Schizosaccharomyces pombe: one gene and its partners. Changing the gene in region 4 together with the main gene of any one other region gives a genetic interaction. Each region holds a gene or a part of one and is shown on either strand. Other genes may lie near its edges. The genes, in order: msn5, ste6, ung1 and shr3.

What was found.
Region 1: mutations in shr3 (region 4) and msn5 together harm fitness more than expected from each alone (negative genetic interaction), as found in Schizosaccharomyces pombe (one large-scale study listed by BioGRID).
Region 2: mutations in shr3 (region 4) and ste6 together harm fitness more than expected from each alone (negative genetic interaction), as found in Schizosaccharomyces pombe (one large-scale study listed by BioGRID).
Region 3: mutations in shr3 (region 4) and ung1 together harm fitness less than expected from each alone (positive genetic interaction), as found in Schizosaccharomyces pombe (one large-scale study listed by BioGRID).

What each region holds. Positions count from the first base shown.
Region 1 is NC_003424.3:3,469,003-3,478,778, forward strand, and holds msn5 (karyopherin), read right to left. Parts: upstream 5,999-9,776; 5' UTR 5,806-5,998; coding exon 5,713-5,805; intron 5,630-5,712; coding exon 2,018-5,629; 3' UTR 1,511-2,017; downstream 1-1,510. Other genes in the region: zinc finger protein Cps3 , read right to left, coding at 1-843, 902-1,004; dbl4 (ubiquitin-protein ligase ), read left to right, coding at 6,559-8,073.
Region 2 is NC_003421.2:1,762,630-1,770,712, reverse strand, and holds ste6 (RasGEF Ste6), read right to left. Parts: upstream 4,628-8,083; coding exon 1,892-4,627; 3' UTR 1,742-1,891; downstream 1-1,741. Other genes in the region: ubiquitin-protein transferase inhibitor Glm2, read right to left, coding at 1-1,489, 1,547-1,720; triacylglycerol lipase Ptl1, read left to right, coding at 5,675-7,190, 7,242-7,363; SPOM_SPCC1450.15 (pig-F/3-ketosphinganine reductase fusion protein), read right to left, coding at 7,636-8,083.
Region 3 is NC_003421.2:601,334-607,708, forward strand, and holds ung1 (uracil DNA N-glycosylase Ung1), read left to right. Parts: upstream 1-1,640; 5' UTR 1,641-1,703; coding exon 1,704-1,930; intron 1,931-1,987; coding exon 1,988-2,320; intron 2,321-2,387; coding exon 2,388-2,796; 3' UTR 2,797-3,071; downstream 3,072-6,375. Other genes in the region: DNA repair ligase Lig4, read right to left, coding at 1-552, 607-692, 732-828, 894-993, 1,034-1,096, 1,184-1,194, 1,239-1,470; protein Spo13, read right to left, coding at 3,072-3,472, 3,524-3,539; U3 snoRNP-associated protein Rrp5, read left to right, coding at 5,004-6,375. UniProt on the Schizosaccharomyces pombe protein: Excises uracil residues from the DNA which can arise as a result of misincorporation of dUMP residues by DNA polymerase or due to deamination of cytosine.
Region 4 is NC_003423.3:1,172,916-1,179,405, reverse strand, and holds shr3 (chaperone protein Shr3), read left to right. Parts: upstream 1-3,492; 5' UTR 3,493-3,540; coding exon 3,541-3,651; intron 3,652-4,040; coding exon 4,041-4,577; 3' UTR 4,578-4,926; downstream 4,927-6,490. Other genes in the region: mef1 (mitochondrial translation elongation factor G), read left to right, coding at 1-1,326; translocation subcomplex subunit Sec66, read right to left, coding at 1,967-2,545; mtx1 (metaxin 1), read left to right, coding at 5,322-6,490. UniProt on the Schizosaccharomyces pombe protein: Involved in amino acid permease processing and required for the efficient translocation of structurally related amino acid permeases from the endoplasmic reticulum to the plasma membrane.

The DNA of each region.
Region 1 (9,776 bases), on a different chromosome or scaffold from region 4:
CGGTTGCGGTAAAGGTATTCATAGAAAATCCCGGAGCCATAGATGCACTGTAAGAGCGATTTAGTATTGGGGGTTTCAAACCAAGAGACATAGATTCTGGATTGAATATGTTTCTCGTTCTGATTCCGCTGCCAAATGAGGCGGGTGAGATGTGATTGGAGTTAAGATGTGCCTCTGGCGTATGCGGATAGGAAGAACTAGATAGAAATTTGCTTCCAGAAAATGGAGAAGTAGAGCTTTTAACAGATATGGAGCTGAGGCTACGCTTTGCATGTGGTGAACGTACCGTGGAACTTCCATTAGTTGCCTCAACATAGGCAGGAATGGTTTCTATGCCAGTCACATCACTGAAATCCTTAACAGATGCTTTCTTTGAGAGACTATCCCCCACAATAGAATATACGTCTTCTGTAGAAGCGGAGAACGCATTGGCAGCAACAGTCACCTCCGATGGAATAGCTACGTTGGATTCTTCCTTTTTAATTACTAAAGCTTCATCTTTTATTCGATTTTTTTCTTCTGAAGCTGTGGCTGATGCCATAGTAGTCATTGGCAATATTTTGTCATTGTTGGAAATGATGTTAGCCATAGGAGCAGCAGATATGTTTTGAGAGCTTGAGCCCATAGCTGTAGTAGATGGGGCAAAGGCTCTTGTCTTTACTTTTCTTCCATCAGGTAAAACATGTTCCAACGCGCATTTAGAACCAAATTTACAGTTTCCTTTTTGGAAGTATTTACAAATAGTTTTCTCTGTCGCCAATTCTAAATCGTGACTAAATATACAGTTTTTTCCACTTGTACAAGTTCCTTGCCTAAAGAACTTACAAGGAACGTGTTGTAAACCTAACTTTGTTAGTGAATCTGCTCAACTCTCCGTGATCGTCGTCCACAGCCTTCTTACTTTTTGGAGAGGGTCTAGTAAGCGATGTTGCCTCCGAATTAAACTCGCTTAAATGATATTTCTTCATGTCTTCTGAATTTTTAAAGGCATTTTTCTTCGTCATTTTTGATGCATGTATGGGATTGATGTCAAAACACCAGATAGTTGCTCTGAAAACGAAGAAATGAGAGCCGCATTAAAACAGCCTTATAAAAAACTTCAATCAGCTTTTTATAAAAGGCTTCGTTTGCGATATGTAGCTTCTTGAGATATACGATGATGGGGAACCTTGTTAGGTCGAAACTATATTATAATAGTAAGTAAACCTTAGAGCACGCAAATTGGGGTCACAACCTTGGGTGTTGGAAAGAAAGTCTACACTAAACGAAATAGTCAAGTCTATTAATAATATTGTATATATTAAATACTTCTAAGGGGATTTTCTAATGATATCTCGTATTAGTGAAACCTCCGGATGTTGGGGTTGGTGTGGTATTGATAAAGACTGAGCAATGTAAACAAAATAGCTAAAATTCAAAACAGTCAAATTAAGATTTCCAACAACCCCAAAGGTCCCATTATAAATACAGGCGTTTTAGCCGAAAATTACATAGAAAGAAATGAGTGTTTATTAAATAACAAGCAATTAAAAAAAAAAGCATCGTATATTGGCTTATATAAAATTGCCCAGCTTCTACATTGATAGATGTCAATAAACACATGCATGCCATTATATACATCATTAACAATAGTAAATATAAAAGACTAATCATCTCTTTCCCTTTGCAAAGAGATAAAGGACATCTATTTTTTCACCCTTTTTTAAAATCTAAGAAATGTAAGCATTAAACGTTAAATATAAAGTCATAATGATAAATTTAAAAAATCATTCCACAACTTCAAAAATGCTGGATCGGTTAATTCCATAAAATGACCATATGTGCGAATAGTTAACCAGTAACTCATTTCCAAGCAATGCTAATGCTGCTGATTTACAGTACTAAAAGAAATAAAGCTAGGAATTTATTGAACTGAGTAAAACGACTACTCTGAATGAGAAGTCGTGATATCAAATTAATGTGTTCGCGTAAAAAAAACAACAATCTTTGAATGCTTGCCATTCCTTGATTTTATCTTTTATTCAAAGAGATTGGCCAACCCCGTATCTTCGTCTCTTGAGAGTACATCATTTTTTTGCTCGTCTTGCAAGCTAACACTTTTTTCAAACCTTTTCAGCATTTCTTTGGCGCTTACATCAAGGATGGCGGCATTGACAGCTCTACGGTCAGTTCTCGGTACAATTCGACCGGAATTAAGAAGTCTCGTAAGCAAAGCTTTTTGAATTTTTAGCGTGGAGGCTTCACGGAATTTGTTGAAAAATGCTGGAACCAAATTTTCTTGATTGGCAAGGGCCGGAATACTAGCCAGCAACTGAAACGCTGAATCAGTAATTCCTTGCGAGTATGACAAAATAATACAAGCTAATCGAATAAAATCTGACTGCATTGACTCAAAGTAAGGATCATGGATAGCTAGAATGACTGATTGAAACACCTGTTGGCAGATAAACTCTCGTACTAATGAATGAGCCTGCTCAGATACTAAGAGTGGAGTAATCGCCAAAAACGCATTTACTACCAACCCCACAGTCCGAGAGTCATGAATCACCAATAAATGGCATAATGTGCATAATAATGGTTCGCAAATGATAGCGTTATCCAATACATATTCGGAAAGCTTTACAGGACCTTCAACAGTCTCTTTTCCTATTAAGCTTGAAGAAACATTGGACCGAGATTGGGTAGGAGTGATTTGTAAAAATGTTTCGGTAATCAATTTTGCGGTAGCATAAGTTAGATGACGAAGCAAGGACTCTTCAATCATCTCCTCTGACAAATCATCATCCTCTCCTGTCTCCTCAGCATCTTCTTCAACAAGTAATCCGCGATCGTTAATCCGCCGCCACTCACTAACTAGTTTGTGATCTAATTCGGACAGCAAAGCTGGCAGTAAAGGTAAAAGACATTCATCGCGAAGTTCTGCAGGACAATTAACGCAATACGGTTTGATTACAACATTCACCATAGACGTCCATTGATGTAAACTTAACCCAGCTGCATGAGAAAAGAAAGCTGTCAAAAACTGCTTAGACAATCCGGGTACACAAAAAAATGCTTGACCTAGACGCATAAATGAAGCTATAGCATAATAACAGTATTCCCTTAAACGCCTTAAAAAATGACCGAACGAATGTATTAACTTGTTAGCTGAGACGTCCATCTTGTAGGACTCTTCCAAAAATTGATTTTTAGAAATTTGACTTACACCATGCAACCAAAATCTTTCAACAATACTTTTTTGAAGTATCGAAGAATTGTGCATTCCTAGACCACTTATAAATGAAGGCTCATAACAACAATGCAACTGTTCAACTAATTTTAACAAATTTGGAACAACATTTGGCAAGATAACTTGCCATAGGTTCTTTTGCCCTTCAAATTCAGATGGATGTATGTGTTTATTACTACAGGTGGCTTCACAAAATCTCCCCAAACATTTAATCGGCCATAACCATTTACGGCCAGTTTCAAGATTTGATTGATATGAAGCAGCATCAGCATCCAGTTCAAACTGTGTGTAATCAGCATTGTAAGGATACTTTGCTGATAAGTATTCAGCCATTTGAGGAAACCCAATGTGATTCAAAAACTCCATTGGACTGTTAACAGGTGGCTGAACATCAAGCCAAGTCTTGACAACCGGTCCAACTAATTTTTCAAAATATTCATTTTTGACTTCAATATTGACATCAGAAAATTGAGTTATTACAAACAGAAATGTTTTTAACATTACAATTTCAGAGCCCGTTAATGTTGTAGCATTGTCCAATTGATCGATGATAGATTGCAACTGATCAAAGATATTCATCAAAGGGTTCGGCATTAGTTCTCCTAGTCTCACAAGCTCAAAGCAGCATCTACTCCGCATCTCATTAATTTTTTGAACATCGGAAAATCCATACGATGCGGAAGTGTTATCGTATGTGACAGCAGATATAATTTTTTCAAGGACAACACCAAGCAGGGTAGTATTTTCTCTTGCAAGAATGGATGTAAATAACACTAAGACACTGATCAAACGAGTAATCAGCATAGGGTCTTTGAAGTTAATTTCAACAAGCTGTTTGCACCACAAAAACAGATTTTGTAAAATTATTTCATAAGTAGCGGGATCATCAGAAGTGTTTTCGTTCCAACGAGTAACGCCGTGCAAAAACGCTTCTATCGTTGAAAATCCAACATCCATTGTAAGATAAAGAGGACTGGTCTTTGAAAAAAATTCAGTCTGGGATTGAATATCTTCCATATTGCCAAGAACAGTTGACTGAAAACGATTTTGAATCCAGTTTAAGGACTCGATGGGAGTGATGGATACGGTTAATCTAACAATGTCAAACATAAACCTACGAAAGTTACCGCAAAACGAATGCACAGCAGAAACACCTTCCACATCCTCTTGAAGGTATTTAGCAGTAGCAGACTCCGGTATGAGTTCAACAACTGCATCCTCAAAACGAAGTAACCTCTCGGAGGCAATACTTAACAACTCAGGGTAAACGATTTGAAATTTTTCATGTTTGGAAATAATGGGATCCCTCAATGCTAAAACCCAAAAGTGTTGAGATATAGCACTGATTAATAAACTAGGATGTTTCATGATTTCCAATACTAGTAAGGAATAAGTGTCCAGGGATGTGAGTTTAATACATTTCCGTCGATTAGAGTCAAGGTAATTGTATTGGCCCAAAGCAACTATGGTCTCAGACAGTTTTTTTAAAAGAATATATTCGGGAGTTGTAGATGAAAGTGTTTTAATATTTATTGATTCAGATGTGGCAGTGTAAACTTGATGGAGGGTATAGAGACTAGATGGGGACAGCATTTCTTCGACTATTTCCCACAGAGGATCATCAATTTCCATGGTTCTGGTTACACAAATATAAATGCAATCAATAGCGTGTGTTTTTAAAAAGATTGGCCCTTGGACTAAAATTTGACAAATATGTGAAACGATGTTTGCCTCTCGAATGGAATCAGTAGCTACCCAGGACAGGCAGCTTTTGAAACACTTTAAGCATTCTAAAGCATCATCTTGACTTTCTAAAGCGTTGCCCCACCGGATAAGCCAACCCTCATTGTTAGAAGGGATAGTAACGGAATAAGGAAGACCTGAAGGATATAATTTGTGCAGGGTGGAAGAAGAGGATAGGATGCTGATAAGCGCATTAAAAAGAATATGAGAGCGTAAGGATGCAACGGGATCATCATACTGATACAAGTCTTCCATTATACCACGCAAGATGAGGGAAGATAGTTGACGATGCTGAAGGCTTAAAGACCAAAGTGATTGTAGAAAGGAGTCAAATTCTTCTCTCCATGTGTTATACCAGTCTCGTTTTGCAATTTCAATAAATACGGAGGCGAGTTTACTACGCACAAAATGTACGGACAGCAGGTTATTGTCTTCGAGTGATATTTTACATAAAAAGCTAGTGACAGATTCCTTTTCCTTATTCGAGAAACTTTTCCAATTCATTCCAACACTCGTTTCAAAAAGACTAAGAGAGAAATGTTGTACTATATGAATGTCAAGTTTACAGCCGAGTGAGGAAAAAGCCTGCTCATTCAACTCTAAGAGTTGAATGGCGACCGATGGACTGCTGTACGAATCTTTAAGTTCATCTAGTAACTAAAAACGATAATTAGCAAATATTCATGGACCGTTTCCGCAAAGCACCATGGCTATCTCCATTATGACTCATCGCGACTTACCTGCTGGGCAGAGAACCGAGTTTCTCGCGAGCTTTCAGGCGAATGCACCACATTCAGAGCTTGTAAAATATTTGATAAACCTTTTTCATCCATCAAAACCAGTTTATTGAAATCGAGTCACTGAAACTCAAAAACTGTTTACTTCAGGACTCCTTTGTGATGCAAAGAAATTTACAAAGATAATCAAGTAATCACAAGTATTCCAATACTTAGGTAATAAATAATGAATTTTCCTTAATAATAATCTTGAAACGAAGCAAGATCGTAACTGCGTGTTGGGTGTTTCAAGAAACAATCAAGCCAGCATACACCGCATGTGTTTAGCCTGCCATTCATCGATAACGATACATTGCAGTGTGTTATATACATAGTCAACTTTCTTTTCTCGTTTCAACCCCCACTTGGTATTGCAGATGGAGGCTAAATTTCTAATATTCTTTGAATGCAGCAGCATCCATCTCCCGTACACTTCGTTAAAACATTTTTGATTTGGAAAGCAGGAGGGCAATTGTCTTGCTCATTTCATAAAGGCCAAAGCCGAAGTATTTTACCTTTTGCATACATCTGGCTCTTATTTTTCAGTCTTGTTACAGGTGGCCATTTCACGACAAGCTTTACTAAAGATTTCACGATTTACTCGTTTGTTTTGTTTGAGTGGATTCCATCTGCTGTGGCATCTCGTTTGCGGTTTAAACAATTACTTTCCTGCTCGGATTATTTGTAGGTTTTTTGCTTATATAAGGCAATTCGGCAAAAAAACAAGTGGTTTTGCTGATAGACAAGCATTCATTGTATACCTTTCTTGAATATCGGTTAAATAAATTTCGGTGAATAACTAAAGCTAAGATGTCTGACCTATTGGACGATGAATTTTATGAGGAAGAATTTGAAAACGATCTTTTGGATGCTTCTGAATTCGAGGATGAATTTGATGAAGATGCAGAAATCGATGATGATGGGTTCACTGTAGAGAGGAAACGGCGGAGAGCTCACAGCGTGAGCTATAGAGTGGTCAGCGTTCGCGATCTTAGGGCCTCTCTAAATGAGAAGATTAATCAACTTACTAGTATCATTGATTTGACGAGAGAGCAAGTGCTAGGGTTATATCGATATTTCAAATGGAACCGCGAAAGACTGCTAGAGAGGTATATTGATGCTCCAGAGGAATCCCTTCAAAAAGCAGGTGTGGGACTTAGTGGTTCTAAACAGCGGGAAGTTGTTCACCATGAAGGGACTTGTGAGATTTGTTACGATGAAGGTTGTCTCCCATTTTTCAGTGCTGAATGCGATCATGAATTTTGTTTAGCTTGCTATAGACAATATCTTGATTCCCGAATAAGTGAAGGTGAAAGTGTCATTCAATGCCCTGAAGAGAGCTGTACGCAAATTGTATCCATTCAATCCATCACAAAAGTGTTAGACGAAAAGTCACTTGACCGGTATCATCGGCTTCTGGATCGCTCATTCGTTGACGATAATGATCATTTAAGATGGTGTCCAGCTCCGGATTGTGAGTTTGCTATCGAGTGCCATGTTACACAAGCTAGTTTAAGTTCGGTGGTGCCTACAGTAACCTGTAATTGTGGCAAGCAGTTCTGTTTTGGCTGTGGACATGACAACCATCAACCGACAATATGTCCACTGGTAAAAATATGGCTCCAGAAATGCCAAGACGATTCTGAGACGGCCAACTGGATTCATGCCAACACGAAAGAATGCCCAAAATGTTCTACCACTATTGAGAAAAACGGTGGTTGTAATCATATGACTTGTAAGAAATGCAAATACGAATTTTGCTGGGTTTGTCTGGGTCCTTGGACTGAGCATGGGAACAACTGGTACACATGCAATCGATATGAAGAGAAGAGTAGTACAAGCGCTAGGGATTCGCAATCGAAATCTAGAGCCTCATTAGAAAGATACTTACATTACTACAATCGGTTTGCCAATCATGAACAATCGGCTAAATTGGACCATGAGCTATATGAGCATACACACAAACGTATGACTCAAATGCAGGTGGATTCCAATTTATCTTGGGTAGAGGTGCAGTTCCTTAAGAATGCGGTGGATATATTATTCCAATGTAGACAAACCCTTAAATGGACATATGCATTTGCCTATTACCTTGCAAGAAATAACCAAACAGAGATATTCGAGGACAATCAGCGCGATCTTGAGCTAGCTGTTGAAAATCTTAGTGAGCTATGTGAACGTCCTTGTCAAGATTGTTCTCTTAGCGTTTTTAAGCAAAGGGTTCTTGATAAAACAGTTTATGTTCGTAGTAGACGCGACGTCCTTCTGGACGACACGGCTCGTGGTTTGGCAGAAGGCAGATGGGAATATGTTGTTGATGTGTAAATTAAGAAAGAAATTTATGATGATTCAACAGCAACTGTTCCCTAATTTATTTTTACTTCCTTTTTTTTCGACTGGAAGACACTAACCAATCCTACGAATTGAAATGAATTAATTATCATTCATTATTTAATTTACGAATGCATTAATAAAGAAAAAAAGAAAGAAGGAAACTAAAATATATCTCTACAGTACGCAACTTTTTGAGATCTGCGTTTGATCGTCATGTTTATTTATTTCCTCATTTCATTCATATAATAGAATTTCATTTTACTTCTTTTTTGGTTTTTGTTTTTTTTTTCTCTTTTTCCTATAACATCACACAAAAAAAAAAAAAAAAGAAAAGAAAAGATTGAGAGAAAAGTGCAAAGCAATTACTTACTTGTATTACTATATCATATGACGAGCTTGTTAATAACAAACAATTCCATTTATATTCTTCTTCGCAGGTAGTGAAATATCGAGTTGTGAGAATGATTTTCTTATGCTTGTTTTATTGATTTAAATGATTCCAATTTGTCTTTAAATCCTGGGTGTTAATTTACAGTCGTTTCCTGGCCAGGACAGAATAGCGAAGGGTCGAAGATAAGGAAGAAAGAACAATGCGAATGATTTATTGAAGCGAAATCTATCAAGAAAACAAAGCTATCGAATATGTAGTTGCGTATTAGAAAGGGTTCTAAATTACTATTGTTCAGTTGTTTGGGCTAATTTGTTTTTTATTTTTTTTTTCTCTTCTGTGCCTCTGTCTCTTTCAACCCAAGTATGTGTAGACTTACAAATTCCTAATCACTACTGCTACTTTCAATCTCATTACACAATGCGAGTGTAGCGAAGGTACATCTCTGCATCTCTTAAACTTCTGCATAAAGAAGGTATAAGGAATGGTATAGAACCTTGCGATTACTAAAATATCTAATTGTCCTAACATTTCAAATGGTGTAAGGATAATCGATGAATTAGTTCTATCTACAAGATACCCAAATAAGATCATTTGATTTATTGGGATATGATTCTCCTTTTATTTTGTAGGTTGATGCGAATGTGCCTTTTTGTTGAAATAGCTTAAAACTGAATTTCATTTCTCAGTTCAGTTGCAGCTCTATATGTATTCTTTTCTAATAGGTGATATCACTGCCATCCTCGTTTAGACGGAAGTCTTATGCACGTGTCAATAAGCGAAGCTTATTTTAGTATTCGAAAATGGGACATATAGTGGTACGCAACGTATTCCAACATTGTGCTGTGTATAGCCGAGAGTATATTAACGTTGTGTTTCGTGTCATTCTTTTTCCAGTTTCCTTTTTGCTTTCGTCATAATATCATCAGGCTTCGTTCGCACTTTTTTAGATGATATCACCAAGTAACATGTGTCAATACGTCGTGATATTACGTCGGATGTAAACAAAGCAGATGCTAAGGAATGTAAACAAACATATTAAGGGATAAACAAACAGTTAGGGTCTTTATTTCTCACTACAAATATACTAGATTCTATATATTTGATTCGTTGAAAAAGATTTTTTTTTTTTTTATGATATTCAGATTTCGATTCGAATCCCTTTTTTTTGCGCTTCTCCGGTTAATATTTGGAAAACTTTTCCCACTGCTGGAAGGATCCTTTTTATCGTTTTTTCCTAATACATTTATTTAGAAAAATTTTGTCTTTCAGTTAAGATGCTGGTGAATTGCGCACCTGAACCCTT
Region 2 (8,083 bases), on a different chromosome or scaffold from region 4:
CAATATAATACTTCAGTCCGTCTGTAGGAAGCTCTCCCTCATAATTATTTATTTGGTCGGAAATCTTAGTGAAATATACAGTAGGAAATTGGTTTTGACTTAACAAATTTTGAATCTCGAGTGAATAGAGAAACACCAGTGTTTGGTGAATGTACGATAGGGATTGAGAATCAAGTTCAACATCTTCCATAGCGTCAAACACTTTGAAAACATCCAGAAGGGTATTGGGAGATACAAAGTTTTTTAAACCTTCCTCATTACTATCTTTTACAAGAGAACACTGTTTTTGATAATAATTTAGGATAGCAGTTTTTATATTTAACAGTGGGCATTCTTCCAAAGTATCAAGTATGTAGGAAAGACGGACACTTGGTAACTGAGAATCCAGACATTTTGTGACTATAGCATTGCATGTAACACGCAGCCAAGGAAGTTCTGTCGAAGAAGCCATAAAATGATATCCATGGAGCAAACTGGAGAGATGCTCGAGTTCGGAGTCGGGAACCTGGAAATGAGGTAAATCCAACAAATATCCTTGATACACAGCAATATCTTTGAAACCAACACTATCCAATTGAATCTCCCAAGAGACCAATTGCTGCAAAGTTTCAAGGATAGTAGAGGGAAATTTTTCTTTCAAAAAATCCAGAAAGAAGTTTCCGCTTTGATAGAACGATTTAATTGTTAATAAAGCAAGACATCCTTTCGTGTCAAATTCAATTTCATCCCGCTTATCATCAGCCTTAGTAGAATTGTTATCAACTTCAGCAGGAACATCAGCATTTTTGGCTATTTCTTCGTCTTCTGAGGAAATAGAGGATGACTGACTTACATATGTAGCTTTTGTCAGCTCCTGAGCCATGTGCTCAGTAATGATACTCCAGCTCTCTGGAAGATGGGACAAAAGATAATCGAAGATGTTTATTATGGATTTTGAAAGGGTATCCAACTTGTCACAATTAGTCGTAGCGCCACTTAGTTCTTCACGAAACTCTGCATACTGATCTTTTGTTTGAAGCAGCGAACGGAAAGAAAGCATCAATGTTTCTTTACTTAAAAAGAGTTGAGCTAAAATACTGCAAGCCTTTAAACATGCCAAATAACACTCTGACACTGGAAAGCGATGCATTGCATCTTGTATAGATGATATTGAGATTTTCCAAACACAATACAGTTCATCGCTATCAATTTGCAAAATATTTGCTAACCCCGAAAACAATGAAATTAAAAAATTATTTACAAATAGAACTGGTCGCTTTGTAGATATACGGTGTAAGGCTGATAAAATGGCACTGTTCAGAGATATGAATTGTTGGGGACTTTCAAAGCCTCCATTTATCAAAAGTTCACAACATTTAAGGAACACCTCTCTTGGATTTCCGTTTTTGGCTAAGAAGTCCACAAACTCATCGGCCTCATTTTGTACTTTCCCAACATATGGAAGCACCATTCCTATAATGTCCCAGGAAATTTCGCGTGTTATATGGTCCTAATTGCAACATTATTAGGAGAATTCATATTTAATTACATGAATATTTTTACTTACATTCTTTTCTTGCTTCAATTCTTCATGTAGACACTTAATCAACTCTCGCTGCTCATCAATATCCTTTATTCGCGCTTCTTCCAATATCAATTCGAGTAGCGTTGAGTAGGTAATATAATCTTTGGTTTCAATGGCTACCTTGGCGGCACCTGGAATCGCTTCTTTCCAGTCCATTCTTCTTATGAATATTAAGGTGTGAGGTAAACGGACGAAAGATAATTTACGAGGCAGACTATATCAGAATTAAATGATTTTAAGATTATATTGTTCTACAAAAGATTTGAAAATATTAAAGGAATTCGAAGCAAGCTCATAAAAACTTAAATCACTGTTAACGTTCACGCTTCAAAAAATGCCAGAATCAATTAGCAAGCGTTGTAAGGCTTGATCTTCAGATTCACGTGGTTCTACAGTTAAACTTCTTTGATAGATGTTATTCGTGTTTCGCTCTCTCGATATAACTTCATTAAGAAGCTCTTGAACTTCGTTGATGGGATTAAACATGTACCCAACAGATTGAAACTTTTTTATCTCATTCAAAATTCTAGTGACTTTGGTGCGCTTATCGAAATTGATCATGTTTTGAAAGTTATCTTTATTTCCAGTTTTAAGGAAAGTCAGATCAGTGAAGTAAACACCTAAGAAAGGGACACATGGCAAGACACAGTTCTCCAGACAATCTCTATAATTACTGAAATTTTTCCTTGCCTCTGTCAAATTGTTTAGAAGCTCAAAACTAGCCAATGTTTTACTATTCAAATTTGCCCATGTCTTACGCAGCCGATGAATGGGTGAGGAATTTAACGCAGAAATGATGGAAAATAAACTAGCAAAATTGTTAAGCTCTCTCAAATAATCACAGACCTGAATAAAATATGCTAGCACATTGGTACGTCTGCGAGGTTCTTCTTCTTGCACGATGGTTTCGGTCACAAAGTTAACCAGATGATTCGACAAATAAAAGGTCGAAGTTTTTTCTTTGGGTGAGAATCTGTTAAGATTGTCCCAGATTTTAGTTAGGAACTGAATCCTTGATATGTGTGAAAATGATTGAAACTCTAAGATACATAACTGCTTTGCAATTTCACGAGGAGGTAGAAGTAAAACCAATTCATCCTTATATATAATTGGATCAGGGGAATTATGGAGAGAAAGATCCTCTAATTCTTGGGATAGCTCTTTTCCCTCTAGCATTTTATGTGATCTTTTTGTAGAGGGATGATGAAGTAGGTGTGATAAAGAATGCAATAATTCTTCAGCAGATGCAAAATGTGGAACTACAAAGACTTCAAAAACTTTATAAATTTTAAACAAAAAGAATATTGACTTGGAATTGTCCAACTCTTCAACAAGATACGATTCGAACCAAATAAGAAGTATATCCAAAAACCTCTTACTAACTCGGTAAAATTCGTGAGAAATAAAAGAAATTTTTCCAAAATTTAATGAGCAGATGAACCGAAAATGTGCTCCAAGTATGGAAAATAAATCTGAAGAACTGATCATACTAGCGTATGTGTTTAAAAAGATAGTAGTAAAAAATGTACTATCTATATCTGTCCTTAGAAGGTAATTTATAATGAACACTAAAGTGGCTGTTTTTATTTTTCCATCTTGTTCAATTTTACCATTACATGACCAAAATGAAAACAAAAGGTTTCGGATCAATAATGGCTCTGGTGAAGTCTGTTTCATTAAATAACAAACTAATCCTTTAGAGTCGAACCAGTTGGTTTTATTGAGGTCAAAACCATCAAGTTGGGACTTCTCCGCATCATTCAATTCTGGTTGGATATTTGTGAGGAATTTGTATTCTAGAGAAAGAAACACAATTCTTTCTGAAAATTGAACAATTATTGACTTGATCCGAAGAAGGGATACTTTCAAGGTTACTAGTAAATCAACAAAAAGGGAATAATTGTCCAGTAAACAATCGCTAGGTGAGATTTGCTCCAAGTCGATACTCCACAAATATAAATCACATAAGTTAGAAGACAGTTCATCCTTCAAGGCTTCAACATCTTGAGAAGTGAAAGAAAAAGGGTTATTTTCAGAGGAAGAATAATTTATTCTTTGATTTGCAGACAAGAATCGCCTACAACATTGAATGCATCTATCGATGTCCTCTAGAATATCTAGTTTCCAAGCTTCTAGTGCATCTTCCGCAACTAGCTGTAGTACTTTTTGGGTTGTATTTTCAGTTAGCTTCTGTGCTTCTAAATTCCAAAATTCATTCTCAGTGCAATGGTAAGCTTCGTGTGAAAGTGACAAAATTGCAACAAAGGAAGTAATATCAGGTTGGAGATTTGTATGTGCTGATTGTACAGAATTGGAACAGAGCATATTAAAATCCCATGGCAAGAAATGTATTTCATGCGCTATCAAAGAGCCCAAAAAGTAAGAAGGGAAGGAAACATCGGGCCTGAAGAAAAACAAAAACTTATTAGCCAATTGCTTCAAAAGCTTAGTAAATCTGATGCAAAGTTCACCATAAGTGCAACCCATTCGGCTCAACTCTGGCAATAAATTTAATGAGGAGAACACTTGCGCGACTTCTGAGAGAAAATTTTCATCTAATGTAGAAAGGATTATCAAGGGAAATGAAAGAACCATACTACGAACAGTTTCAATTCCAAAAACGATCACTTGAGTGCCTTCCTTTTTTATAGATTGTGACACAGCGGCAGCGGTGGTGAGAATCCCTTTTACAAGGTGGTGAATGTCATTTTGAAGATTTTTTCTTAAGAACTCTTCTGAAGAAGGGATACTATTTATCGCTTGCACTCCGTGTTTCTCAAACCATGCAGAATCTTGAAGATGAGCCTCTACGTGAAACGGCGCACAACATTGAGCATTTGGGTCTTTCTCATTCGATGAATGAAAACTTGAAAAAAAATTTTGAATTTTTGAAGAATCAATGCACGACGTGGGGAACCAACCTCGTTTTTCTGAGCAAATTCCGTCGCACCAACCGTCCTCGAGCACTTCTATAACTATGATAGTGTCTCCTGCAGAAAATTTTAAAAATGAAGGATTAGAGCTGTTCTCATAATCACTTATTGCGGTCGTTTGAAACCTCATTTTCGTAAGGGTCCATGAATGCTATCAATTCCACGATTCATTTATTTTTGAAAGAAAAGAGGAAATATACCTTCTTAAGTTATTTCAGTATTTTCCTGCTTTTAAAATAAAGAAAACACCCGTTTATTTAAAAAAAAAGCTTGTTTTCCCATTATTAGCCATTTTGGGAATTTCTTTGTTTACTAACAATGGGCTACTACAATAGAAATTACCTGTGAATTTGGCGCGTCGCGTTTTGTCACTACGCAACTGTAATATTACATACAGTATTTCACTAGACTATGTTGTCAATCACTTTCACAATGGACTCACCTAAAACCTGTGGGTATGCGACTATTCCGCAATACAGTAATACTTCGTTGTTTTCACTATTCAACCCTATCCTTCGCTATTCAATAAATACAGAAAGAAAAATGTTCTTCCTGAAAAATAAAACAGATTGTCCTTCTGGTAGCGTTTTTCTAAAAAAAAAAGTTGAATTCTTTTCTATTGATCCAAACTTGATGACTATTGTTAAAGGAATAGACCAGTGAATTTAAAAGCTTTTGCGACTATCCTTGACCGATTCATTTTAGGCAGTAAAAATACGCAAAAAAATTTTATGTATCGCTATATTTAAATACCGTATGTCATGATAGTCGACTCCACTTTATTATAGTGTATTGCAATTATTTCGTTATAGTACCAATATAATACGGCAATTTAATACGCTATACACATCATGCCCACCTATAAACTGCCCATGACATAGGGTTCACCGAATTCACCGACAAGTTCAACAAATGTTTTTTCCCACGGATGTAATCGTGCCAATTGCCATTAACCAGCTTCAATTGAGCTAGTTCTATGAATTGAGCTGTTAGGTGGAATTCTCCAATTATAAAAGATATTGTAGTAGTTCATGAAGTGTTTGAAGCGGATTTTAGTTGGAACTTACAAAAATTAAAGGATAACTCTATCCATAGGTCCTGTTGAGACTTGTTACGTAAAATTAGAAAAGATTGGAAATTGTATTGTAATTTGTGAATTTACCATTGTTTGCCTAATATGACTGCACTATTTAATTTCTGGCGCATTATGTATGCGAATATTTCGTCCATTTGGCTACTGGTGGTTTCATTTTTTGAATGGTTATTTTCCGCTACGTCGATATCGCAGCAGCGTGGTTCCGGCCCTCGAAAGGGAAAGGTAGTTATGAACAAGGATTGTCGTTCTTGGGAGGATTGGAAAGTTTTGGCTACGACGATTGACAAGGCGTCGGGGCGTTGGAAATGGCGCTTTACTCCTGCCTCGGACAAGTACGACTATCTATTGATTGATCGATGCACGGTCTCCTTAAAACGATACCGCCAGAGGAAATCTGTCTATCCCATGTTAATGTTCTTGCGCTCTAGCTTACTTCGTAACTTTGGCAACATTGGCAATTCCTCTCTGTATACCGAGAATTACTCGGGTACAAAAATTTTGATTGAAGAGTATGTACGTGAGGTCAACAATTGTTTAGAGTTTTTATATCACACTAAAAGGCTTTCCTACGACGTTAAGTGCGATTTTTTTTCCGCTGCCCGAATTTCCTTCGGTACTACCTGTTTGTATTTCAACGGCGGCACTGCGTTTGGTCTATATCACTTTGGGGTAGCTAAGACCCTTTGGAAACGTAATTTGCTTCCTCAAATCCTTGCAGGATGCGCATCAGGTGCGTTGATTGCATCGCTTTTGAGTGTCTATCGTGATGAAGAATTGAATGGTTTGTTTGATACTTTCCCCAGCGAACTGTGGAAAATATGTCAGCAAACATCTGACTATTCTCTTTCAAAAGTTGTGGAGTATGGGAATATGCTTGACATTTCCATGATAGCATCTTTTGTCCGTCAAAGACTCGGTACTATTACCTTTCAAGAGGCTTTTGAGCGTACTGGACGTATTGTTAACATCGTTGCTCCACCTTCAGCTGTTTCTGGATCCCCTCAGGTTCTTAATTATTTCACTGCCCCTAATGTGCTGATCTGGAGTGCCGTATGTTCTAGCAATAGCTGGGCTGCCATTTACCGCTCTTCTCCTCTTTTGGCTAAACTTCCCGATGGGTCTACCGAGGTGTGTACTCCCAAAAATTTTATTTGGCCGTATGCTGGGCTTCCTAATACCGGTCGCTCTAATCCTTATGCACGAATCTCTGAGATTTTCAACGTGAATCATTTTGTTATTACCCAGTCTCGCCCTTCGTTGTTCCCTACATTTTATGATGAACTTCATCATCATCGTGTTTCAGGATACTCCTTAAAAATGATACGCTTAGTAGGATTAGAAATGGCTTACCGTTTCCGCCAACTGGATATTTTGGGTCTTCTACCTCCAAGACTACGTCGATTTTTTGTTGACGATTATGTTCCAAGTGCGTATATCACGCTTACTCCAACATTTTCTTTCTCGGACATAAAGCATGCATTTACCAAGCCCTCATTAAGCGACATCCAGTATTGGATTCTAGTAGGTGAAAGGGCCACATGGCAAGCTATACCACTTTTACAAGTTCGCTGTAAAACTGAAATTTCTTTACGACATCGTATGTGGAAGCCGATTCTTTTTTGAGTTTTGTTACTTGCTAACCTAACAGTTTCAAAAAACCTTACCAACAGTTACGTTGAACCTTTGTCCGTTAATAATCTGGCATCGCCCTTTGTCACTAATTTAGAAGAAAACCAAGAAAAGATGCTGAAAATTTTTAAAGTAAAATAGACGGATTTTTTAAAAAAAAAAGCATTTGTTTATAATCTTGTCCCTTAAGGATTGGTCATGCGTTAATGTTAATTTTATTAGTTTTAGTTACTTTGGTTAATTTACATTTTATTATATATTTACTACTCATAGGAAAACAAAATACTGACGTTCATTCTATTTTTTTAAATTTCTAAGAAATTTCAAATCTATTTCTCAAAGTATAATTAGCGATAACGCTCCGCTCTTTAACGATAACTAAAAATAAAGAATTTAACCAACTGTATAATTGTCTATTGAAGAATCTCTCCAACTATAGCTGCAAAAGCATATCCTAAGAATGCACCAATTACTATAGTAATGGGCCAAGCCTGCCAAGGACGGTCCCAATCTAATGGGATAGGAAAAGCGCCAAACCAAGCACCAATAATAGGACCCCAGCTTCTTAGCTGCATGCTACCTATAACATTAAAGGATTTTAAAGTAAGGAACCTTTGCCATTGTTCAGTGTTAAAAGCAAGCGTGCTTGCAAGAGGATATACAGTAAAGACGCTGAGCGTTAGAGCACAAAAATACGTCAAATGAAAGTCGTGCAGAAGTGGTGCTCCAAATGCTACGAGAATGAAGGAGATGAGTAAAGAGCCTATCAACATTGATGCTGCACCGGCAAGTAATCTCTTTGGGGTTAAGGGTGGGCGTGGGCTTTGAATATAGATTTGCAATGTTTGCATGATAAACCAA
Region 3 (6,375 bases), on a different chromosome or scaffold from region 4:
AAATATCGAACACAACGTAATAAGGGCTGTAGGATGAATGAGAGGAAGAATCTTCAAAAATGCTTCTTAAACTTCCGTATGGGATCACTGTTTCCAACACTGGATCCCATGTAACCATTTCTCCATCAAGAATAATTTGTGAAATACGTTTGTCAAATGCTCCAATGATGTATTGTGTCAGCCTAGATTGTTCATCGAAATAACTAGAGCCATAGGCATAAGTGTACGACCTGGCATTTCGACTATAGAATTGGAATTTTCCTGAACTCATGTGTAATTGAATACGCTCCCCGTCTAGCTTTTCTTCAATCCAAAACGGTTTATTTCCCATGGCTTCCAGCGTTTGATGGAGATCCTTTTTTTTGAAATTGGCTAGCTGAGGCTGGAAGCAACTAAAGACTTCCACATCTGTTTCAGTTTCATCAAGAGACCGACTAGGATCATAGAGCTCCCAACAAATTCTCTTTAAGGAGCTACACAGTCGATATAATCGAGCTGCATCAGGATGGAACACAGAAAGTATGAATTTTTCCGATGTTCCGTATTTTCGAACTAAAGAAATAAAAAAGTTAGGTCATAAATAAAGAAATATCATTTCCAACCAACCTTTCAGTAAAATGGGAATTAGCCATCGAAGCTCAAGAGGACTCAAGGATCTATAAAATTGCTCCAAAATATTAACTCGGGTATCCCTTATTAAGGTTAGATACGGTAAAAAATTTAGAACATACTCAGAAGAAGCATCTGCTAATTGATCCAGCAGGGCGTTGACATCACCAACTGTAAAGGCACCAGGAAAGGTCCTGTATGCCCTTCTTTGTAAAATATCTAAATTTTTTTCAGTTAAAATATGATCAGGATCAATTGGAATACAAAAACTATGATGAACACACCCTGCAACATGGTAGAAAAATCTCCAGTATGTTTGGACTCGGATCCTCTCCAATTTTTCAAAGATTTTGCATCTTCAGAAGTAGGACTCAAATGCATAGCCTTGTTAATTAGTCACTGATGTTGCAACTTAATTACTTACTCGAATAAACAGTTTTCCAAGCCCAAATTCCTTGAACCCATATGATCCTCTTTCACGATCCAACTAGAAAATTAGCAATTAGAAATTCAAGACACCGATTAAGACACTTTATGTAATGCGATTTAGTGGTCTAACAATTTTAAGTCGTACATCAGGAAGCACTCCATTAGTTAGTATAAGGAATAAAATACAAATATTAAATTACTTAGTCGAAGTAATGGATAAAGATCTGGTCCTACATGTTGTCGCCATTTATTAAAGTAATCCAAGAGGATTTTGCGCTTTAATTCATAAGGGTCAAGGTTTGATGTTTTGGATTTCCTAGTCTTTCCAATTCTTGATAACGGTTCCAATAATGTTGTAACAAAATCATAGAATTCAAGGGTGCTTGAATGATTTTGAGGTTTCGTAAATACCGTCTCTTTGGCTTCGTCCATATCTTAGGTTTTGGCTTGAAGCAATCGTTTTATAATACAGTTTATGATCAATAATATTTCTCAAATAAATAACCGATAAGAAATAAACATCAATTTAGTCTCATTATCGTGGTAGTGTCAAGTGTGTAGTACGAACACTTCTAATTATCATACATGAAAGCCTGTTCTCTGCAACGATTCGGTGGACAGTATGTTTATGGAGCAGAGAGCTGTTTTCTAATAAGTTAGGTAAAATGACTGTTCTGAATACTACAGATAAGCGTAAAGCTGATGATACCGTTAATAAACTTGACGGGAAATTAAAGCAGCCACGTTTGGATAATTTTTTTAAGACAAACACCTCATCGCCTGCTTTAAAGGATACTCAGGTACTTGATAATAAAGAGAACAACTCTGTCTCAAAGTTCAATAAAGAAAAATGGGCAGAAAATCTTACTCCTGCTCAAAGAAAGCTGTTACAGTAAGTATTGCTTACAATGTAGGCTAGAAAATTGGAAAAGGTTGTTAACCTATTTAGACTAGAAATTGATACTTTGGAGAGTTCTTGGTTTGATGCGTTAAAAGATGAATTTTTAAAGCCATATTTTTTGAATCTGAAAGAGTTTTTGATGAAGGAATGGCAAAGCCAACGTGTATTCCCGCCGAAAGAAGATATCTACTCATGGTCACATCATACTCCACTTCATAAAACCAAGGTCATTCTCTTAGGACAAGATCCTTACCATAACATTGGTCAAGCCCATGGTCTTTGCTTTTCCGTACGTCCAGGAATTCCATGTCCACCAAGTTTGGTCAACATATATAAAGCCATCAAGATCGATTATCCTGATTTTGTTATTCCGAAAACAGGGTACGTTAAAATTATTTAGTCTTTATATTTTTTCTTTCTAAGATTTGGCTTTTTGCTAATGAAGCAGGTATTTAGTTCCTTGGGCTGACCAAGGCATTTTAATGCTCAACGCTAGTTTAACTGTAAGAGCCCATCAAGCTGCTTCTCATTCTGGCAAGGGTTGGGAAACTTTCACTTCTGCTGTCCTGCAAGTTGCGTTGAATCGGAATCGCAAGGGTCTTGTAATTTTAGCATGGGGAACTCCAGCAGCTAAGCGACTTCAAGGTCTTCCTTTGAAAGCACACTATGTACTTAGAAGTGTCCATCCTAGCCCTCTCTCTGCACATCGTGGCTTTTTTGAATGCCACCATTTCAAGAAAACCAATGAGTGGCTCGAAGAGCAGTATGGACCTGAAAAATGCATCAATTGGAGCGCTGTTTCTGAACAAAAAGCAAAAATAAAGTCTAGCGAGTTGGAATCCTCTTCAACTGAGTAGAAAAAGTCAGAAAATAATTGCTCGTTTACTGGATGCTAATAGGTCTAATCAAGCTTTTTATTTTCTTTTGTCATGCTTGCTTTATTATACCACTTGCATGCTTATCTTTATTCTACCTACAATTGGACTTGCTTAATGTGTGTTATTTTTCTATGTCTTTCTTTTCGCAGAGGATTTATTTTTTTTTTGTCTTAACATTTAAATCATTCATTTTAAAGTTTAATATTTATGTCAAATCCATCGTAAACGGCACATTTATTAAAGACTTAATGTAATCAGTGGTAATTTGATTCGTTAGAATAACTCAGTAATTTTCTGGCTTCGATTGAAGTTCGGACAGCAGTTTGGATGCTTCTTAGTTTCCCAATACGTCCTTTTTCTTTTGCCCTGAGATAGTCCAATTCTCTTTTTAATACTTCTGTATCCTGCCTTGCCTTGGCCACCATTTCGTTTGCTTCAGTGAACAGTGAAACCGATAAATCTTCCATTTCTTTCTGACTTTGCTCAAGCAATCCTTCCAACTCTTCTCTTCGTTGAACCTCTCTCGAAAGTTGTTCCTTCAAATGGGTTATTGCTAAAGTATTGGCATTGTTTAATTGTTTATTCGTGCTTTCTTTTAAAGCATTTTCATTCGAATTTTCCTTGTTAGAGATAGAGCTAAAAAGCTTTGAAATTTCTACATGTTAGAAAAAATTGTTTTATATTGTATTGTCATGTTGTCCCTTACGAGAATTGCTCATCATTGTTTCAATTTTTTTTCCTTTCCTATAAAATACTAATTGCTAACTTTTTTTTCAAAAGTACAGTGGTTTAAAGTTGTTTGCTTAGAGAAAATGTCATTTGTTGACACAGTACATATGGCTGTTAACCGTAATATAAATGACAACAAACAGGAGAAAGACTTCGTTAATGTTGAAGAATCATCCGTTTATTATTTTTATCAGTTTGCTTTGTTTCTTTTTTATTTATATTTTTTTGCGTGAATTTTATGAGCAATACATTCAATATACAATTTATGGAACATTGAATCAATTTCACTGAAGAAATAAATTTATTTTATCAATTTCATACAAAAATTTTTTTTACCCAATACAGGAAAGAATTAAGTGAGCCTCATTTCGTTTTTTACAACAAAAATTATCGAACAATAAACGAAAGAAACAAAATGTAACAATTTCTCGGTCCTTGATTTCAAATCAAGATACTTGAGCTATAAAGATGCTTTGAATTTATTATCATATTCTATATGAGCTTCAAGCATATACTTACAATTACAGAGTGCAATTCCTCATTTCATTTTCATGTCCACTGCTATTGTAACCTGCCAAAGTGTAAACAAAACATTCATTCGGGTAGGGTAGGGTTAAAATTGTAAACGAAACACTAATCTAACTAACGAGAGCTTAAAAAAATTGCTGCGAACAATAATAAATAGAAGAGGGTATAAAAACTTACAAGACAATTTTGAACCCTTGAATGCTATAAGTAACGAAAAGAAATAATGGAGGTAAAAATTAATATTTCAAAGGAAATTCGGAAATAACCTTTTCGACGGTCAACATTTAGATTGAGGAGAAGGTTTTTGACATTCACTATCGATGCCATTTCAACTGGTAAGCGCTAAAAACAAGGGTTTACGCAAAATTCTTTTTGTACCTGTGATAAATATTGTATTTCTATTGTAATAGCCAATTTTTTCATCCTATGTATCATGGAAATGTCCGGCGTAATAAACTTACAACCGCGCTGTTCCTAATTTTGTTTCATTGCTACAAAAATTAATCAAAGAAAAAAAATAAACATCCCCAAGCTTCGTAAATTTAGATTTATCGTTTCATTTGCTTGTACCAACAAGCATTCTGGCATTTGCATTATTCATTATGAAATTAATAGTGTATGCAGTGCGAATAACTAAGATAAAAAAAATTAAGAAGAAAAAAAATTAAATTAAATGATCAATTTGTAAGTTTTTCTGTTTTTTGCCATGTACAATCGCATATATTGTTTGTGCACCTTTTTTAAGTTCCTCAACTCTCATATTATTGCGTAGTACAATATTCATCGTTAAAAGAAATTCTCATGATGCGTTACCCTTCCTAGACTATTTCTTTTGTAGCAGCAGCATAAATTTACTCGCTACCAACTACTTTGTATAAAAAGCTTCTTTCTTCCAGTCGTTCTTTCTTTTCAGAAGTTCATAGAAGTAAATGGCTGGAAATAAAAGAAAGAGGAGCAATGCCTCCGAAGGCTCGGATTCCCAAGGGAATGAGAGAATTTCTTCTTTGAGTGCTAACGAGGCAACTCAAGATTTCCCTCGAGGTGGGGCGTCTTCATTGACTCCTTTAGAGTATAAAGAAGCTGTTTTAGAGGCTAAGAAGGACTTTATGGAGTCCGCTTCTGGTACCGCTGAATTGAGTAAAAAAACTCGTCCTAAGAAAAAGGGTAGTAAAAAATCTTCCAAATCCGAATTGGACAACGAAGAAAATTTGAAGGTTCATATTCAAAGCTTAAGATATAAAAATATCACACCCGGCTCTTTAATTTTAGGTCAAATTGCTCAAATAAATACGTTGGACTTGGCCGTCTCATTACCAAACTGTTTGACAGGTTATGTACCTATCACAAATATCTCCGATAAGCTTTCTGATCGTCTGGATAGTATTGACAATCATGCAGAAGATAATGCAGCAACTGAAGAGGAAGACGGTCTTAATCAAATACCGGATTTGATGGATTTGTACAAAGTTGGTCAATGGGTGCGTGTTTCTGTTACAGCCCTTGGCTCGGAAAATACTACAAAAACCGGAAAAAGACACATCGAGCTAAGTCTTAAGCCGCAAGATGCGAACGGTTCTGCTCCTGAGGCTGCGGATTTTGTTGCTGGGTCGATGATACAGGCCGTGGTTTCAAGTATTGAAGATCATGGTATTGTTTTTGATATTGGTATTAATAATTATACTGGTTTTTTATCCAAAAAACACATAAATGATTTCCCTTTTGTTGAAGGCCAAAGTTTATTGTGTTCCGTTATTTCAAAAGAAGATCGAATTTTCCATCTTTCTCTCACTGCGACATCCACTAAGGCGCTTGAGGTTATGCCTTCTGTACAAGCTATTCTTCCTGGTGACTATATAAATGTTTTGGTAACGGACATCAAGGAAAGCGGAGTTATTGCAAAATATATGGGTGTAGTAGATGTCACTAGTGATATTTATCATTCTTCTCCCGTGAAAGGGGAAGATTTAGAAGATAAATTCCAGCTTGCTAAATCTGTTCCTGCTCGCGTTCTTTTTGTGATTCCCGGTGATCCCCCTAAAATTGCAGTATCTTTCTTACCTCACGTGCTTACCTTCAACTTCGCAACTCCCAATACTCCACATCCCGATCAACTAGATATTGGTTTTATCGTCAATGCTGCTAAGGTTACGTATGTATCCTCCTCACTTGGCGTTTTTTGCGATGTTGGTGTACCTGAGATATCCGGATTTGCTCACATTTCACGCCTTTCCGATAAAAAGGTTGCTGGAATTAGTCCCAATTCTGGCCCCTATAAAGTTGATAGCACCCACGAGGCTCGAA
Region 4 (6,490 bases):
GGTTCTGCCTTGTCCAATGTTGGAGTTCAATCTGTTTTGGATGCTGTTTGCGACTACCTACCCAACCCTTCTGAGGTCGAAAATATAGCTTTGAATGCAGCAGACTCAGAAAAGCCAGTATCCCTTGTTCCTAGCAGTGAGAAGCCGCTTGTCGCTCTTGCTTTCAAACTCGAGGAGGGAAGGTTTGGCCAGCTCACCTATTTGCGAATTTATCAAGGTACACTCAAGCGGGGTAATTACATTTACAATGTCAATTCTACAAAAAAAATAAAAGTTTCACGCCTCGTTCGTATGCATTCCAATGATATGGAAGAAATCGAAAAGGTTGAAGCTGGAGGGATTTGTGCGTTATTTGGTATCGAATGCGCTTCTGGAGACACCTTCACGGACGGTTCCGTATCGTATACTATGACTTCAATGTTTGTACCAGAACCCGTAATTTCACTTTCTTTAAAACCGAAGAGCAAAGATACAACCAGTTTTTCTAAGGCTTTGAATCGCTTTCAGCGTGAAGATCCCACTTTTCGTGTGCAGTTGGATAATGAATCGAAAGAAACCATCATTAGTGGTATGGGTGAACTTCATTTGGAAGTTTATGTCGAACGTATGCGTCGTGAGTACAAGGTTGACTGTGAAACGGGTAAACCAAGAGTTGCATTCCGGGAAACTCTTTCCAAAAAGGTACCTTTCAGCTACCTGCACAAAAAACAATCTGGTGGAGCCGGTCAATATGCAAAAGTAGAAGGGTACATTGAATACATGGATGGTGTGGAAGACGAATCTGGAAACGTTGTTGATTGTGAATTTATCAACAAAGTTACCGGTGGAACAGTCCCTACGCAGTATATTCCAGCTTGTGAAAAAGCTTTTTACGAAGCATTGAAAAAAGGATTTCTCATTGGTCATCCTATAAAAAATTGCAGGTTCGTTTTAGAAGATGGTGCTTATCATCCCGTTGATTCCTCTGAATTGGCATTTCGTTTAGCCACCATTTCTGCTTTCCGTACAGCTTTCTTGCAAGCGAACCCAATGGTTTTGGAACCAATTATGAACGTAAGCATAACGGCGCCTGTTGAACATCAAGGTGGTGTAATTGGTAATCTTGATAAGCGTAAGGCGACTATTGTCGATAGCGATACAGACGAAGATGAGTTTACGTTGCAGGCGGAGGTCCCTTTGAACAGCATGTTTTCTTATTCCTCGGATATACGAGCCTTGACTAAAGGCAAGGGTGAGTTTAGCATGGAGTTTCTCAAATATCTTCCAGCACCAAAATATGTGCAGAAGGAACTTGTTGACGCGTACAACAAACAACAACAAAAATAATTTTTGAAGTCCGTTTTAAATGAAGCAACAGCAAAGTTTTTGGTAACCAGTCATTTCTATTTAAAAAAAAAAATTTTGATCCACTCTCCTCTTTACTAACGCAGCAATCTACATGCAAATAAAAAAAATAAATACCCAGATTATTACCATACAAGTAATGTACAATTTTTTTTGTGCAAGATAGTTCATGGAACAGAGAATGAGTATATTAAAGAATATGAAGAGTAAATTATAGACCAACTTATAAAGGCTGAGCTCTTAACGGAGACATTTTGGCCAGAACATACATTTGAATTCCAATAACTTGTTTTCAAATAGTGCTTTTTTCTTTTTCCTTCTTTCTTTCCATATTTTTGTTATTGGTTTGGAAAAAAAAGGGAGTAGGAATAGGATGATAGATAATATGAATAGGAAAAAAGTATGACTTTCAATATAAAGGTAAGGACAGTGATAAAGCAAGCCCCCTTTATGGAGTCTATTACTGAATTTGATTTATGAATGAGTTCTAAGGATTATTGTATAAAATAGGAATTTTAGTTTCAAAGAAAGAAAAAGATAAGAAAACGTAAAACATCAGATGCAAGAAAGAAACAGGAAAAAAAGAATAAAGGCACATACGAACATCTTTTTTTAAAACAATTTATAGCACTCCAAGTTCTTTTTGGGCTTGAATACGCAATTCCTCATCAGCGGCTTCATACAGAATTTTTTCGGTTTGCCAACGTTGCGAAATAGAATCAATGTCCTTGGGAATATTATCAATTATGCTGTGAATTTTTTCGTTTTCAATTATTTCATTGCAAGTTTGGAATATAAACTGATTCCATCCAGGCTGCAATGAATTGGCAGTTTTGGCAATATCCATCAACTCCAATTCAGTTTCCTTTTCCAAACGACCAAACTTACGAATTAGCTCGTCACCAACGCCGCCGCGGTTGAGCAAATTATTCAATGCCATTCTCGATACTTTAAGCTTCATCAATCGACGAAGACCTTCTGTAGCCCGTAAAACGAGAGCAGCTTTCAAAAGTGTATCCTCGGCAGGTGGATTCTGCTGCAAAAGACTGAAAAATATATTTCTAGAATAATTTTCTCCAAACCATTCTTCTGATACTGGTTTTGATTCCTGATTTTTGGATTTTCGCACAAAACGAGAAACTCCATACATAGAGCCCATTAAAATGGTAATATATATCAAGGGAACGTAAATCGACACCATATTGAATTAATTAACACGGCCAAGTATGTAAAGCAAGCAGGGACCTTTTTCTTTAACAACTCGTATACCCTTTTTGTATTATTTGTTTTTTGCAGAGTGGACTGCAAATATGTATATGAGATATAACTTCGAGACCAAATGAATGCAAGACCAGTTTAGGTGTGAAAGGAGAATAGTGTGTTTTCTGGAATGCTTTATATTTTATAAGGTTGATGTAATTTTCTGTTATTTGTAGATAAGAGATATTTATGTTTTCTTAAAGACGCTAAAATATTTTACGCGATGCGCTATTAGATAAACAAATCGATCGGATATTGTTCAATTGTTTGTTTAAACTCAGGTAAAAGTTTTTAGAATTAGAAATGAAAAAAATTTACTAATAGGGAACTAGGATAATAAACAATTGAGCATTTTAGAAACAGATTTTGCGACCATTGTGAAAACTGACGAAACATATAGTTAGGAAGACAAAAACACCTCATTTATGAAATTATTTCTTTTTTTCAAGTATACAAAGGATCTTTGTATGTTCTTCTATATTGTTTCTGTAGTTTTATTAGTATTTTTACATATCGAGGCATTGGCATTCATTTGTTTTATTTACAGCCAATTAATAAATTCCCTTATTTTGATATAAGCTTTACAGTCTCGCTTAACTTGAAAACGCTATGATGTTGTGTATTCAGTTACAATAAATAGTGACATACAATAGTCGCTCAAATATATCTGGTTATATTTTATATTAAATAATTTTGCCAACTGATTTATCTTGGGTTGATTTTTCTTATTCGTGAGATTTAGATAGCCGTTCATGATGTTTTTCTGCATACAATGCATATTAGTGGAAAATGCGTTCGATTTCCTTATACTCATACAATCCTTTAGACCGTCGAAAGCGGAGTGGTATCACTTTGGTATAAAAAGGTAGTCTTAATTAACCTACCACTAACGTATATTTTCATTAACAAAAAAAAAGTTTATTATCATTATTCAAGATGGCTAAAAGATCCATATTTCGTTTTGCTGATGAAAAGGGCTTGAAGGTCGCTGCCCGTTATGGAGTCCTTATGTCAACTAGTTTTATTTTTGCTTTACTTTTCCACAGCGTATGTTCCAATCAAATTTCTATTTTATTCTAAGATTATTCATTTGAAAATCAACTTTCATTTGATATCAATTTCGTTTAGCTTTTGGAGACAAAGGGAGCAGAATATGAGAAATTATAAGTCGGTACTTTGAGTGAATTCTGAATTTGTTTTACAAAACATGCATTGTTAAAATAAATCTGGAAAATTATTTTATCAGGAACGTTTCTAAAAAGGAGCTTTTTGTCTGTTTAAGTTTTCATAATCGGATACGAGCATTCATCTTACCGCTCAATGTTTGCCGCGCTGCTCATTTTTCTGTTGTTCTTATGTTTTTGGAGCTTCACTTCGAATTGATTACTTTGTTCATAGTCTTTATTTTCTTAGCATAAATTACTAATGTCATTTAGAGCGTTGCCGATGTGAATACCTTATGGAGTCCTGGCCCTGAGTCTGCTTTCGATGCTGCTGAAACTTACTATACTTTGGTGGCTGGATCCCATTTCATTGTAAAATATACTGTATATACCATCATGGGACTTAATATGATTTTCCATCTTATTCAAGCCACTGGCGCTAAAGGTGATGACAAATTGTTCTTTTACTCTAGCACGCTTCTTTATCTTACTGCACTAATTTTGTTTATTGTTAATGTTGCTCCTTCTATGTTGGTTGTTAAGCTACAGAATTATGTTCAATTCCCACGAAATATGCACTTGTCCGTTCTTGCTGCTTCTCATGTTCTTGTTGAATTTCTTCTTGCTGGTGTCATTCTTATTCAACTTGGATACGTTTTCGGATATCATGTTCAAAGTATCCAGCAGCGCGAATACGCTGAAGATATGAGGGAGCAAGAATTAGCTGAAAAGGCTAAATTGGAATCCGAGTCTGCTACTACTCAGAGTGTAGAAACTGTTTCCACCGAATCTGTTTCAAAGCGCAAGTAAACAAACCACTTGGGTCTAATTTTACAACTTTTGGAATAGAGTGAACTATTTTATATCTTGCTAATTATTGTTGCTAGTCCGTCATCAACTCTTTGACGCAAAGTTTATGTCTAACTAGAAAGCAAAGAGTGACTTGCATTGACGGTAACTGGGAAAGCTTACATGTGTATTCATACGTACAATTATATATATACAAGATTTATACTGTCTTATATAAGAAATAAATTGACTTGAATTTTCGATAGAGGAATAGTTCGTTATGTTTGGATTTAGAATAGTCTTTAGCACACTTATACTTCTTAATAATTAAATATGTACTCATTGTGCAAAAAGGATTATCACAAGTGAAGCTTTTGTGAGATTGTATATTCTTCTATACTATGGATGCATAAACAAAGTCTCATTTTAGATGGGTTTTACGCTGCAGATACAGCAGAAGCGCCATACAAATATACTAAGTAAAATCTCAAAGTTCAAATGCTCAATCGATTTATTGTGCTAATTATCGATGTTTAATTCACTTTTTAACAACTAATAAATAGGTAACAATGTTACTTGTTCGTATAGCTTACTTGACTGCATAGCATCAGAATGATAATTGTAACTAGCTTCAGCGAATTTGGTAAGTTGGACTAGTTGGTTAGTTATTACCTTTTTTTTCTTTCTTCTGTGTTTCTCTAATCTCAACCCTACTGTAGACGGTAACTTTTTCAATTCATTCGTTCGGGTCATTTTTTGATCAAAATGTTGCAACTTTTCATTTATAGCCCAGGACTTGGGCAACCAACGATGGATCCTGGATGCTTAGCGGCATTAATTTATTGCGCACTTGCCGTCCCAAAGGACGAAATTGAAATTCTTCGCACTGCAAATTCAGGTATGAGCCCTACCCATAAGCTACCAGCTTTGTGGGATGGTCATGTTTGGATTGGATCTTTGAAAAACATTTTAATATACTTGAAACAGAAGGGCTATAATTTGGATAATTTTGATGCGAAACAGCTGGCCAATGTTATGGCCTTCACCAGTTTATTGGAAGGTTCCGTCAATGACCTTTGGTTATTAGAAGCCTTTGTTAATGAGGAAAATTTTGTTGAAGCAATAAGACCTGCTTGGTCAAAGGCACTTAAATTTCCTCATAATTATTTGACACCCAATGCTTTGCAACGGCAAGCAAAAGAACGCTTGGCTCAAACACTTGGTATTCGCGACGAAGAAGTCTCTTATGAAGCATCAAGGATGCCTATTTCTCATAAATGGACTAATGCTACTAGACATAGGCAAGCTCTACTGCGCACGCAAGCTCGTCGTATAAGAATTTCGTCATTAGCTCGGCAGGTATATGGTTCGCTTGAGTCCCTGATTTCAGATTCAAAATTTATATTCGGTGAAAAGCCAACATCTCTCGATTGTTTGTTTTACGCCTATTTATCTTTCCATGCTTTCACCAATGAGCTTCCTCAAGCAACTTTGCGACCATGTTTGCAATTCAACTCTCCCAAGCTTTATGCCTATCTCAAATCTTTACGCGAAACCTGGTTTTCCGATGATTCAAACATACTTTCTCCTTTATCGATTAAAGTTCAACCCGAAAATCTATTGACTATAGCTCGCCTTGCTTGGAACAATGTTACTGCCAAAGCAAATGATACAAGGAAATCAATTACTAAGTTTAGCGTCCCTCCCGAAAGGAAACTGCTGTGGGCGAGGAATGGATTCTTTATTTTTGCATCCGCTTTCAGCTTTGTATGGTTTGTCATCAGCAATGGTATAGTTGTCATTGAGACGGAAGATGATGAGGCTTCCTTTGAGGAAGTAGATGATGCTAAAGAAAGCATACAAGAAAAAGAAATTGATGAAACTACTGAATCAAAAGCGACCCATGACAGTTCAGAAACCTCATCAAGTAAAGA